3 linked regions of the Mus musculus genome follow. The protein of the gene in region 1 interacts with the protein of each later gene in a pairwise test. Links are inferred from orthologs where the notes say so. Each region holds a gene or a part of one and is shown in the gene's direction. Other genes may lie near its edges. The genes, in order: Golga2, Bysl and Tle5.

What was found.
Region 2: the proteins of Golga2 (region 1) and Bysl interact in binary tests that used the Homo sapiens proteins (3 or more experiments, as listed by UniProt). The two-hybrid records come from large-scale screens. The link is inferred for Mus musculus from reciprocal best matches to the Homo sapiens genes GOLGA2 and BYSL.
Region 3: the proteins of Golga2 (region 1) and Tle5 interact in binary tests that used the Homo sapiens proteins (3 or more experiments, as listed by UniProt). The two-hybrid records come from large-scale screens. The link is inferred for Mus musculus from reciprocal best matches to the Homo sapiens genes GOLGA2 and TLE5.

Annotation. Positions count from the first base shown.
Region 1 is NC_000068.7:32,291,250-32,294,897, forward strand, and holds part of Golga2 (golgin subfamily A member 2), read left to right. Parts: intron 1-843; coding exon 844-966; intron 967-2,065; coding exon of another isoform or gene 2,066-2,146; intron 2,147-3,648. UniProt on the Homo sapiens protein: Peripheral membrane component of the cis-Golgi stack that acts as a membrane skeleton that maintains the structure of the Golgi apparatus, and as a vesicle thether that facilitates vesicle fusion to the Golgi membrane.
Region 2 is NC_000083.6:47,604,869-47,608,516, reverse strand, and holds part of Bysl (bystin), read left to right. Parts: intron 1-1,515; coding exon 1,516-1,678; intron 1,679-3,648. UniProt on the Homo sapiens protein: Required for processing of 20S pre-rRNA precursor and biogenesis of 40S ribosomal subunits. May be required for trophinin-dependent regulation of cell adhesion during implantation of human embryos.
Region 3 is NC_000076.6:81,558,547-81,562,294, forward strand, and holds the start of Tle5 (TLE family member 5), read left to right. Parts: upstream 1-897; 5' UTR 898-1,095; coding exon 1,096-1,122; intron 1,123-2,672; coding exon 2,673-2,770; intron 2,771-3,748. UniProt on the Homo sapiens protein: Transcriptional corepressor. Acts as a dominant repressor towards other family members. Inhibits NF-kappa-B-regulated gene expression. May be required for the initiation and maintenance of the differentiated state.

The DNA of each region.
Region 1 (3,648 bases):
GCACACCCAGCCAATTCCTGCCAACTAAATGTTTACTCTCTGGTCTCTACCTTTAGATTTTTCCCTTTGGGAGCTGCAAACCCCAGAGCAGGGCATCAGAAGATTTGAGTTTAGATTCCGTGTTTGCCTCTGTGTGTATGTGTATGGGCATGTGTGTATGTTGCTGGAATGGAATTTAGGGCCTCTTGAATGCTAGCCAAGTATTCCACTGAGCTACATTCCCAACCCAATTACTACCTTTTTAGCCATGCCATTTCTTCTGCCATTAAGAGGTCATTATTATATCTTGTAGACTCGTGGTACCATTACATGAGACTTACGTACATAAGAGTATTTTTATCGGGCCCTGGAGAGATGGCTCATCAAATAAGAGCACTAAGTGTTCTTCCAGAGGACCTGGGTTTGGTTCTCAGCACCTACATGACAGATTGAAACTACCTGTAACTCCAAGATCTGACACCCTCACACAGATAATACATGCAGGCAAAACACCAATGTACATTTTTTTTAAAGTATTTTTATAAAAACAGCATAGAAAGAGACCAGGCATGAAATATTCCACTCTGTAATCTAATTTGCACAAGGGCCTAGGCCTGATTTCCAGGACTGTAGAAACCAAGTATGGTGGCACCTGCTCCTGGTGCGTTTAGAAGTTCAGGCAGGAAGATCAGATGTTCATAGTCATCCACATAGTGAGTTAGTGCCCAGCCTGGGATACGTGAGACTGACTCAGATGGCACATACAGAAACACGAAGCAAAGAGCTCAATAAACTAGAGGCTGGAGTAGAGGCTGTGAGTGTGAGGCAGATGGCTCTCATTTCTCTCTGTTCTCCTTTCCACAGCTGAGAGAGTATCAGCAGAAGAACAGCCCGGGTGTTCCTGCAGGAGCAAAGAAGAAGAAAAAGATTAAAAATGGCCATAGCCCAGAGAGACCCACTGCCAGTGACTGTCAGTCACCAGAGAATGTGAGTCTTGGCCAACAGAGTCCTGTGGAATGGGGGCAGGTGGGAAGAAGCGGGGAGGGCTGTGGTTCAAGTGGAAATGTCAGGTGCTGGTTAAAAAGTCTGGCTTTGAGGGCTTGTTGCCTAGTTCAATGGTAATGAACTAGGGCTCATCTCACAATGGCCCTGGGTTTTATCTCAGCACAGGAAAAATTAAATCTGAGTCTGAATTCTATCTCTCCATCAGTTGGCAATATGATAACTTTAGGGCAAGTTGGTTAAACTCTCTGAGCCTCTTTTTACATAGCTGTACAATAGCGGTAATATTTTTAATGTGTATCTATAAAGATTAAGTGAAGTTTATTGCGGTTGTTTTTCTATTAATTCCCCTAGTGGAGGGTCTGCTGTGGAGTTAACAGTGAGCTAATAGGTACCGCTTGATTTTCTTGGTTTGGGGTAGAAATCAGACCAGAGGGAACATCATTGCTCTCATACTTCTGAAACGCAGCCATCTGTAAGAGATTTGAGTGTTAAGTCCATCATTGTCGTGAGCTTGCTGGGTTACCTCAGGAAAGTCACACACACACACACACACACACACACACACACACACTTCCTTCATCTGACAGGATGATGGTGGACTAGCTTATTGTCTTACAGACTCTCTTTTTAGCTGTACTGTAGCTGTGTAAAAGTGAAGTCTTATTTGAGAGTCAGGTTTTAAGGTGGCCTTGGGGACTGGGGCCTTTGCAGATTGCTCCCTGTAATCCTGGGTGTGTGGAAAGGGTCTTGTGTATGTTGAGTTGCTGCATTGGTCAGGTGTATTGACTCCATCCCTTGGGGACTCTTGCTTACTCTGAGGGCTGCCTCTGACAAGGCAGCAGGTGGCTGCTTGGAAGGATGGCACAGGCCTGGGTATTGATCTGTGCTCCTGAGTGTTCCATCTCCCTGACTGTTTCTCTTCTTCCTGCCCTGACTTTCTTACTTCCCCACCCCTCCCTGCCCCCCTCCTCCCTCCCTCCCTCCTTCCCTCCCTCCCTCCCTCCCTCTCTCTCTCTCTCTCTCTCTCTCTCTCTCATCCCTCCTCCCTCCTCCCCCCTTTTTCCCTTCTTGCCTGCTGTAGATTAAGGACATTCTGAAGGTGCTGGTGTCCGACCTTAACCGTTCCAATGGGGTCTCACTCCCCCCATTAGACAAGAGGAAGGTGAGGCAGTACTGAGCGAGACTCCCTCTGGCTTGCTCTCCCAGCCATGCATGCCACAGAGGCCTCCCTGCTTTGGGGACCCTCTGCCACTGGCTCACTTTGTGTTGCCTCAGTTAACCATCAGCTCCTGTGTCTGCTTTGTCAACTGCTTGCTTGATTGGGTTCTTTTCTTTCCCTGTATCATTTCTCATCTTAGAGAAGATGAGACCCACCTTGAAAGTTAAAGCTAACTGGGGAAACAACTTTCAGATCGGATGTTTATGAATGAGACTAGAGTTTATGACTGCCTAGCATGGTACTGTCAGACTGGGACAGATGGAACACAAAAACACCTTTCAGGTCTTGTCCTCTGGGCATCTGTCTCTAAAAAACTAGACCATAGAAATTTGTGGTTCTTTTTTATGAACTCATTTTAGTTTGAAACTTAGGAACATAAGGTTATGAGAAAGTGAATTTATTGTATAGTTTCTGGGATTAAGACTTTTTTTTTCTAAGAAACCCTCAACAGGCAGTGGTGGCACATGCCTCTATTCTCAATACTCTGAAGGCATAGAGACAGGCAGATCTCTGAGTCTAGGAGGAAGTGGCCATGCCTGGTCTACAAAGTGAGTTCAAGGACAACTAGAGCTACACAGAGAAACCCTGTCTTGAATAAAAAAAAAATGAAGAGAAACTAACTGCGAAAAATGTAAACTTAACTAACAAATGAGTGACCAGGAGAAGCTGCCCTCAGTCTCTCTGAAAACTCAGTGGACTGAATTCTTGATAGGAAAGGCACTTTGCTAAACAGTGACAAAACAGATGAGCAAGCCAGGCGCAGTAGTCCATGCCTGTGAGCCCAGCGCTCCAGAGACTGAGGCAAGAGGACGGCAAGCCCAAGCCAGCCTGGGCTGCATCTCGAGAGCCAGTCTCAAGCCAATAGCAGACTAGATGCACAGGACAAGAGTCACGTGACCTCCAGGATGCCTCACATAGGGACAGGAGCGCTGGTTCCCAGTGGACTCGAGGCTGGGGAAGGGACATTTGTAGCTGCTTCGATGGTGAAAGATGAGCTGACAGGCAGGCACAGTTCAGACACGGAGCATCCAAGTGCAACAGGACCTGTGTCGCAGGGCTGAGAGTTGGCCTCCTGGACATAACTTAGTACTTCAGTTTACATGTGCCAGGGGACATGTGCCAAACAAAAGGAGCAGGCTTCTGTCCAACTGAAGGAGTGGTCTGAGCCAAGGCCATGTCCTGTTATTCTGGGGACTCGCAGACTGGCGTTGGCTCTTTTCCGCTAACAGAGCTGATGCTGGGCAGGTGCTGCAGTCTGCTCAGGTGCTGGGCCTCAGTACTCAGCTCAGAAATGGCACATTGTGTGTATGGGAATGGGGGACACATATTTGGTGTTTGTTGTGCTATGGATTCACACAGCCCGGGCTCTGGTTTCCCCTTCAGGAAATACTCACCAGAGCACCCCACCCCCCACCCCCCGTCCAGAAGTGAAGACTTTCCTTGTG
Region 2 (3,648 bases), on another chromosome or scaffold:
AGACATACGTGCAGTCAGCACTCAAACATTAAAAGTAAAATAAACCTAAAACAAACAACCTTGGCTCTCACTGGGTATGCTCTGTGTACTCTCTGGAGCTCTATATAATATACCCTTAGTCCACTTCCATAGCAACTGATCTGTTGCTATGGTAATAATTCAACTACTTTGGTTTATTAGACTCTTTCCCAACTGCCTTGCCAGCTATGTGCGGTATTTCAAAAGTCAGCCCGGTGTATTGGCACATGACTTTAATCCCAGCACTCAGGAAGTACCCAGCCAAGACTCCATGGTCAGGACCTCAGGATGTGGCAGGAATGGCTCAACCCACCTATCACCCAAGTGAGGACACAGAGACCTCTTATTAGTTATGAAAGCTTGGCCTTAGCTGCCTTGTTCCGAACTCGCTGATACAACATAATTGCTTTATACTAGTCTACATTCAACCACGGGGCTCGTTACTGCTCTTCAGTAACAGCACGTGTTTCTTCCTCTGTGTCTGGCTGTTGAGTCCCCTCACATCTGATTTCTTTCCCAGAGTTCCTATCTCTGCCCAGAAGTCCCGCCTATCCTTTCCAGCCCTGCTATGGGCCACTCAGCTTTTGATTAAACCAATCAGAAGGTGATGGAGAAGAAGTTTCCACAACACTGAGACAGGTGATGCTTCATTAAAAAAAAAAACCAATGCCGACTGTACTCAGCTCTCTGCTGGAACAAAGATTAACATGTGAATAGTACACAGGCAGCCTTTACATGGAACACACGGGATTAACCCAACATCAGAAGCTCAGCCTTCAGCACTGTGGTGCGTGTTTGGAAAGTGGAGGCGCGAGAACAAGGAACTCCCAAGTCATCCTCGACTACCTAAGCCAGTAACTTAAATGTGTTGGTTGATCAGAGTCCGAATGCCACTGCCCAGCCTTAGAGCCTTCCAGGTTGGCTTTCCGTTTCCTTTCTGGCTCCTTAGTGCCCAACACTCTAACAGCATTACTTTCCAGGACGTGGAGCATGCTCTTGCTCCCAGACTGCCCATCCAGAGCCTCCTCAGCCTCTGTACTCATCCAAGTGCCTGAGGTGCACACTGCCTCCACCATGGTTTTAGTTTCAGCACATGATGCAGTTCCACTGTGCAAGCAACATAGTGGGAAGTCAGGACCCACAGTGCCTACCTACTGTGGGCACATCAACTCTTCTGCCCCGGTTTGAACTGGGTATAGCAACAGTACCTATTCCTTGAGGTCATCTGGACAGACCAGGTTACATGTGTGTAGTATAGAATGGATCCTTCTTGGTCATTGAGGGGGGACATGTCATCCATTCACTGAGGGGACATGTCATCCAGTCTTTACTGGCCTTATCATCTCTCGCTTCGTGTGCTGTATTTTCTATCAAGATTCCAAGTCTCTGGGGACAAAAGGATAGTCCCTCTGCAGGTGTCCCTCCTGCTCCCTGGGTGTGCTGTACGTGGAATGGGGAACTGACTCACAAGCCCCTGCGGCTGGGATTATCTTGTAGGGCCGGGATTGCCACAGGATGGATCAGATGAGGAGGATGAGGAGTGGCCTACCCTGGAGAAGGCAGCCAAAATGGCCGGGGTGGACCACCAGGCAGAGGTGATCGTGGACCCTGAAGATGAGCGTGCCATTGAAATGTTCATGAACAAGAATCCTCCCGTGAGGTAAGGCTTAAAGGTTGGACCAGTGGGTCCTGGTAGAAAGTTCATCCAGACCACAGCTGTTGGTCTGACCATTGCCAAGAGTGGCCCCTGAACGGGAGTGACCCGGATTCCCCTTTGCCCATCTGATCTGGAACCTCTGGATTACCGGTTCCTTGTGATAGCTGGGGATCCGTTTAGTAGTGTTTATTCTTGGTACGTTACTCTCATAGCTTAGTCTTATTTTTTTTTAAGATTAATTTATTTATGTATGTGAGTACACTGTAGCTGTACAAATGGTTATGAGCCATCATATGGTTGTTGGGAATTGAATTTTAGGACTTCTACTCATTCTGGCCAACCCCACTCGCTCTGGCCCAAAGATTTATTTACTATACATAAGTACACTGTAGCTGGCTTCAGACGCACCAGAAGAGGGCACCAAATCTCATTACGGGTGGGTGTGAGCCACCATGTGGCTGCTGGGATTTGAACCCAGCATCTTCGGAAGAGCAGTCAGTGCTCTTACCTGCTGAGCCATCTCGCCAGCCCATAGCTTAGTCTTTAACTCAGGGTTTTCCATCTCAGTTACAGTGTTGGGGCCAATAGCAGCTATCTCTGACAAAATGTTCCCAGAGGGGTTAAAACTACCTCTGGGTAGAACCACAAACGTACCCCCATGTGTTATAAATGCTACTTCTAAACATGCAGTTATTTAGGCTGCCTGTGGTCAGATTCTTGGTTCCATTCAGATGGATCTGGCCTCATTGAGAGGACTGGGCTTAGGGCAAAGGGGCTCAACCAGTTTATTCTTCAGAGTGGGGTGTAGTACACCACTATCATTAATAGTACGGTGATGAGCAGCTTGGGTTCAGAGAACACAGGAGAACCCTGTCCCCTGAAGGTGTCTGACAGCTCTGAGAATGGTCATGGGGTGTGATGTGCCCCCCAAAGGCTCTCGGGCAGCACCTCATACCCAGTGGCTCTTGATCTGACAAACTTAGCAGAATGTTTTCTGCAGTTGCTATACGGAAGTGACAACATGGTGGAAAGGGGGACCGTGGGCACTCTTGAGCAGTGGCTGCTGGCATCTTCAGAAACCAGGCTAAGGGTCTTTGGGAACACAGCAATCAGGCCTTGTCACTTAAGGCACATTGAAGACGCTGCGAAGCACCCAAACTAGAAGTCGAAAGACTAAAATTTACCCTTTCCCTGAGAAAGTCTTAGGGCTTAGGAGAGTTGTTGGTTGGCCCTGAGTCTCGATTCCCCGGCCTGGGCAGTGCGGGGGAATAAAAGCACCTGCCACCAGTGTCATGCAGACCACAGGACACAAGTCTGGAAAGTGTCAGATTCAGTGCTGCTCGGCACAGAAAAAGACTGCAGAGAAACTTTTTCCCCTTGTGCTGGAAGCCAGAACCCAGGTCTCATCCTTGCTAGGCAAGTGCTGGGTGAGTAGGATAGGCTGGCCTTGAACTCACAAAACTCTGCCTGCCGCTGCCTTCTGAGCGCTGGGATGAAAGGTGTGCACCAGCGCTGCCTGGCACAGAGCTCCACTCTGCACTCAGAAGTTGCTCCCCGTTGTGTGAGCAGTGGGAGGTGAGCTTGAAGTAAACAGCCCTCAGGACCTGCTGGCTCTGGCTGAGAGTCGGGCCTGCTGCAGTCTTAGATTTTACCCTTCAGCTGACTGTCCAGGGGGGTCCTTTTACTTCCCCAGTTTACAGATGAGGAAACTGAGGCTTAGAGGAGTCAAGTGACGGGCCCAGGATCATACAAGGACCAGAAGAGCCGGAGCTGACTTCAGGGCCTAAGGGCCTAACGTCCCCACCACTCTGGCTCTGCGTCAGATGCAGAGACATCCAGGGCCCGTGCTCTGCAGCACTTTGAGGCGGCTAAATGGACATAGAGGGGAACTGAGGCTGTGCATCCCAGCGGGATCGAGATTTGTCAGCGTCCAGGGGAATTATACATTGCTCGCTTCCAGCTTCCCGTACACT
Region 3 (3,748 bases), on another chromosome or scaffold:
TGGGCTTGAATTTACAGAGATCTGCCTGCCTCTGCCTCCCAAGGGCTTAGATTAAAGGCTTGTGTTACCACACCAGCATATTTGTTTTAATCATTTGTTTTTGTTTTGTTTTGTTTTGTTTTTGGACAGGTCTCACCTCAGTAAGCTGGGTCACAGGTTGATGCTGAATTTTCGATAATCCTCCTGCCTCAGCTTCCCAAGTGTTGGGATCACACTAGGACCTGGGGAACTCTTACCTTTTATTTATGAGACAGGTCTCTCTTTGTAGCCCTGGTTGTCCCAGAAGTCTCTATGTAGACCAGGCTGGTCTCAAATCAGAGATCCACCTGCCTCTGCCCTGAGTGCTTGGATTAAAGGTGTCGGCCACCACCACCTCCTGTGGCCCGATTTAACTTTTTCATGTTTTGAGATAAGGGCTCCTATAGCCCAGGCTGTATTCACTGTGTAGATCAGGCTGGCTTCCACCTACCTCAACCTACCCAGCACTGGTAATAGGTCTTGTACCCCAGAACAAACCATGTCTTACTTTTTGTTGTTTTAAGACAGGCTCTCTGGTAACCCAGGCTGGCCGAGAACTCTTGATCCTCTTGCCTCTGCACCCCAGTCATTAGATTACAGGACTGGGCCCCCATCCTACCTCTGTGGGACAGGTGTCACTCTACTGCCCAGTGTGGCCCCCAGCCGTGCCAACCCTCCCGACTCCAAAGAGGACATAGCACACTGTAGGCACTCCATAAATCCACCGTGAAGCCTGGGTGTCCAGGCTGCGAGTCTGTGGCCTTGGGACTGGGGGCGGGGGGCACTGAGGCAGGCCTCCAGCTGGGGTTCCGGGCCGTGGCGGGGGCGGGGCGCGCGGGGCCAAGGTCACGGGTGGGGCGTCCGGGCCTGCGCAGTGCCGGGCGCGGCAGGTGGAGCGGGAGCCCGGGCGGCACCGCGTCGCCATTACACAATAGCGCGGGCGGCGCGGGCGGGCGGCGGGCGGCGCAGGAGGCGGGACGCGGGGCCCCGGAGCTGTCGATCGGGGACAAAGCGCGGCCGCCCGGCGCCCCCCGAGCCGCCCGAGCCGGGGCGCAGCCCGCGCCCCCCGCGACTGACATGATGTTTCCGCAAAGCCGGCACTCGGTAAGGGGAACCCCGCGCACTGCACCCCAGAGCTCTCCCTGCACCCCCAGCTCAGCTCACTGCACCTCCGGCGCTCACCCTGCACCCCAGCTCATCTCACTGCACCCCTTCTAGGTCGGATCCCGTCTCTCTCCCCGCCCAGGGCCTGTCCCAGGGGCTCCCTACGCTTCCCCAGCTCCCACAGGCCTGTTCTGTCCCCCCAGCCCTGGGCTCTTCCCCAAGGTCCTTGCACCCCACAACCCAGACCCTACGCACCCCACCAGTCCAGCACTGCATCCTTCAGCCCGGATCCCTGAACTTTGATCCCTGCCCTGAGTCCCCTCACCGCCTCCCCCACACCTCGCCCAACCCGACTCCAAGGTCTTCTTCCACCCCCACCCCCCACCCCCGGGCTCCGGATCAGCCCGCACCCCACTGCAGCCGCATTCGGCCTGTCTTCCTGACCTGGGGCTCAGGCCCAGAGCTGCAGCACCCCAGTCACAAGCCCATCATCCCCTCACCCCAGACGCGCATGTCCTCCAGCCCTAGATCTTGCATCCCCACCTCGGTGCACCCCCCCCCCCCCAGGCCCAGCTCTCTAAGAGCTTCAGACTGGCCTGCCACCAAGTCCAAGGCCCTGCACCCACCATCACCTCGGCCCTGCACTTCTTTCCACCTCAGATCTGCCCTGGCCCCAAGTCTGGTGCCCTCTACCCCCCAATACAGTTCCCGCACCCCCTGTCTCTCTCTCCAGCCCTGTCGGGCCTGGCGTCACCATCCGGGCCCAGCGCCACCCCCAGCCTGGCTCCGCGTCCCTCCTCCAGCTGCAGGCCCCGCACCCCAGCGGCCTTCCTCCTCCCAGCCCCCATCCTGCACCCTCAGCACTAGGGTTGGGGAGACCCTGTGCCCGTATAATGTCCAGTGCTCCCTTGTCCGGAGCCGGATACCCCGCAGTCTTCCCACCCCCCGCCCCCCCAGCACTAGGCTCCGTCCCTCTCATGTCCAAGCCCATCTGTCGTCTCCCACACCAGCTCCCAGTGGCCTTGCTCCCCACACCCTGCCCCTAGCCTTGCTCCCCAGATCCGAGATCTTACACCCTAACTCCTGACCCAGTGCCCTCAGATGCCGGCCCTGTACATATCCCACCCCCCTCGCTCCCCAGCCCCCCAGCTTCCAGCTCTCCCTAACTCCCAGGCCATGATTTCTCTGTGGCTTTGGCTGGGGCCTGGGCAGCTTTGGGGGGGTCCCTTCCTGAAGAGCACACCCGTGAGGAAACAGGTGTGATGGGGGTACTCCCAGGAAATGTAGGGTGGTAAGTTAGGTGCCTCTTCCATGCCGGCTTTGAAGGGAGGCCTGTGCCACCCTGATTGACTTAGAGGGGCTTTCTGGGGAATTCCTCTGGGAGCATCTGGAGGACAGAGGTGCACCCCGCCCCATGGGTGCCCGCCCCTCCCAAATGACCAGTGTGTAAAAGTGTCCCCACTGCCTAGGGGCCTCACAGCCCCTTCCTGGCAGCCCAGGAAGTGGGGCATGGGCGGGGCAGGACGCCGCTCACCCTCCTGCCCCCGCAGGGCTCCTCCCACCTCCCTCAGCAGCTCAAGTTCACCACCTCCGACTCCTGTGACCGCATCAAAGATGAGTTCCAGCTGCTGCAAGCGCAGTATCACAGGTGAGCCCGGACCAGGGCACCTCCATGTGTCTGTAGAGTTGTCTGTGGCTTGAAGGAAGGCCGGGTGGGGGGTGCCTCTGTCATCTCAGGGCTCAGGAGGTGGGGCCAAGAGGGTCAGCAGTTCAAGGTCATCCTCAGCTACTTAGCAAGTTGGCCAGCCTGGGCTACATGAGGCCATGTGTCCAAAAACAATCAGCCCCATGGTGTGGAAGAAGAAAGTAAGGCATACAGCGTTCATGGTTCTAGAGGCCCAGTCCCTATGTTTAACACAGGCTAGAGTGGGTGCCCAGAGAGGGTGAGTAATCGGCTCAGGGTCACACAGCCCTACCTTCTTCTGTCCAATTTTGGAGTAGGGTCCCACAGACCCTCCAGCCTGGTCACTCCCACCACAAATACTTTTCTCATTTCTAATGGGTTCCTCATGTGTGAAACTGATCACCCCGAAGCCCAGGGTGTCAGCAGCTTCCGGGGTGTACAGCACAGACGCAGGAAAAGCTAAAGCTGAGCACGGGTCCCCATCTAACCTAGGCTGGGTTTGAGTGGGCTTGGGGATACAGGCAAAACCTTCCAGCTCTCACAGGCAGGTGAATGGAGTCGTTCTGGGCTAGCCTGAGGTACAGAGCAAACCTCTGTCTCAGAAAACAAACTAATAATAATGATGATAATGCCTTTATTTTTTATTTTTTTATATGTAAGTAGCTACACTGTAGCTGTCCTCAGACACTCCAGAAGAGGGCATCGGATCCCATTGTAGATAGTTGTGAGCCATCATGTGGTTGCTGGGATTTGAACTCAGGACCTGAGGAAGAGCAGTCAGTGCTCTTAACCGCTGAGCCATCTCACAGCCAATGACAAAACCTTTAAAAGACCCTTAGATTTCTCTAAGAAAAAAAAGTAAATCTGAGTGTTCGTGGAGTTTTCTATTTAAAAAAAAATGTTATATTTGAGTTTTTGGTATTTATTTTGAGACAGGATCTT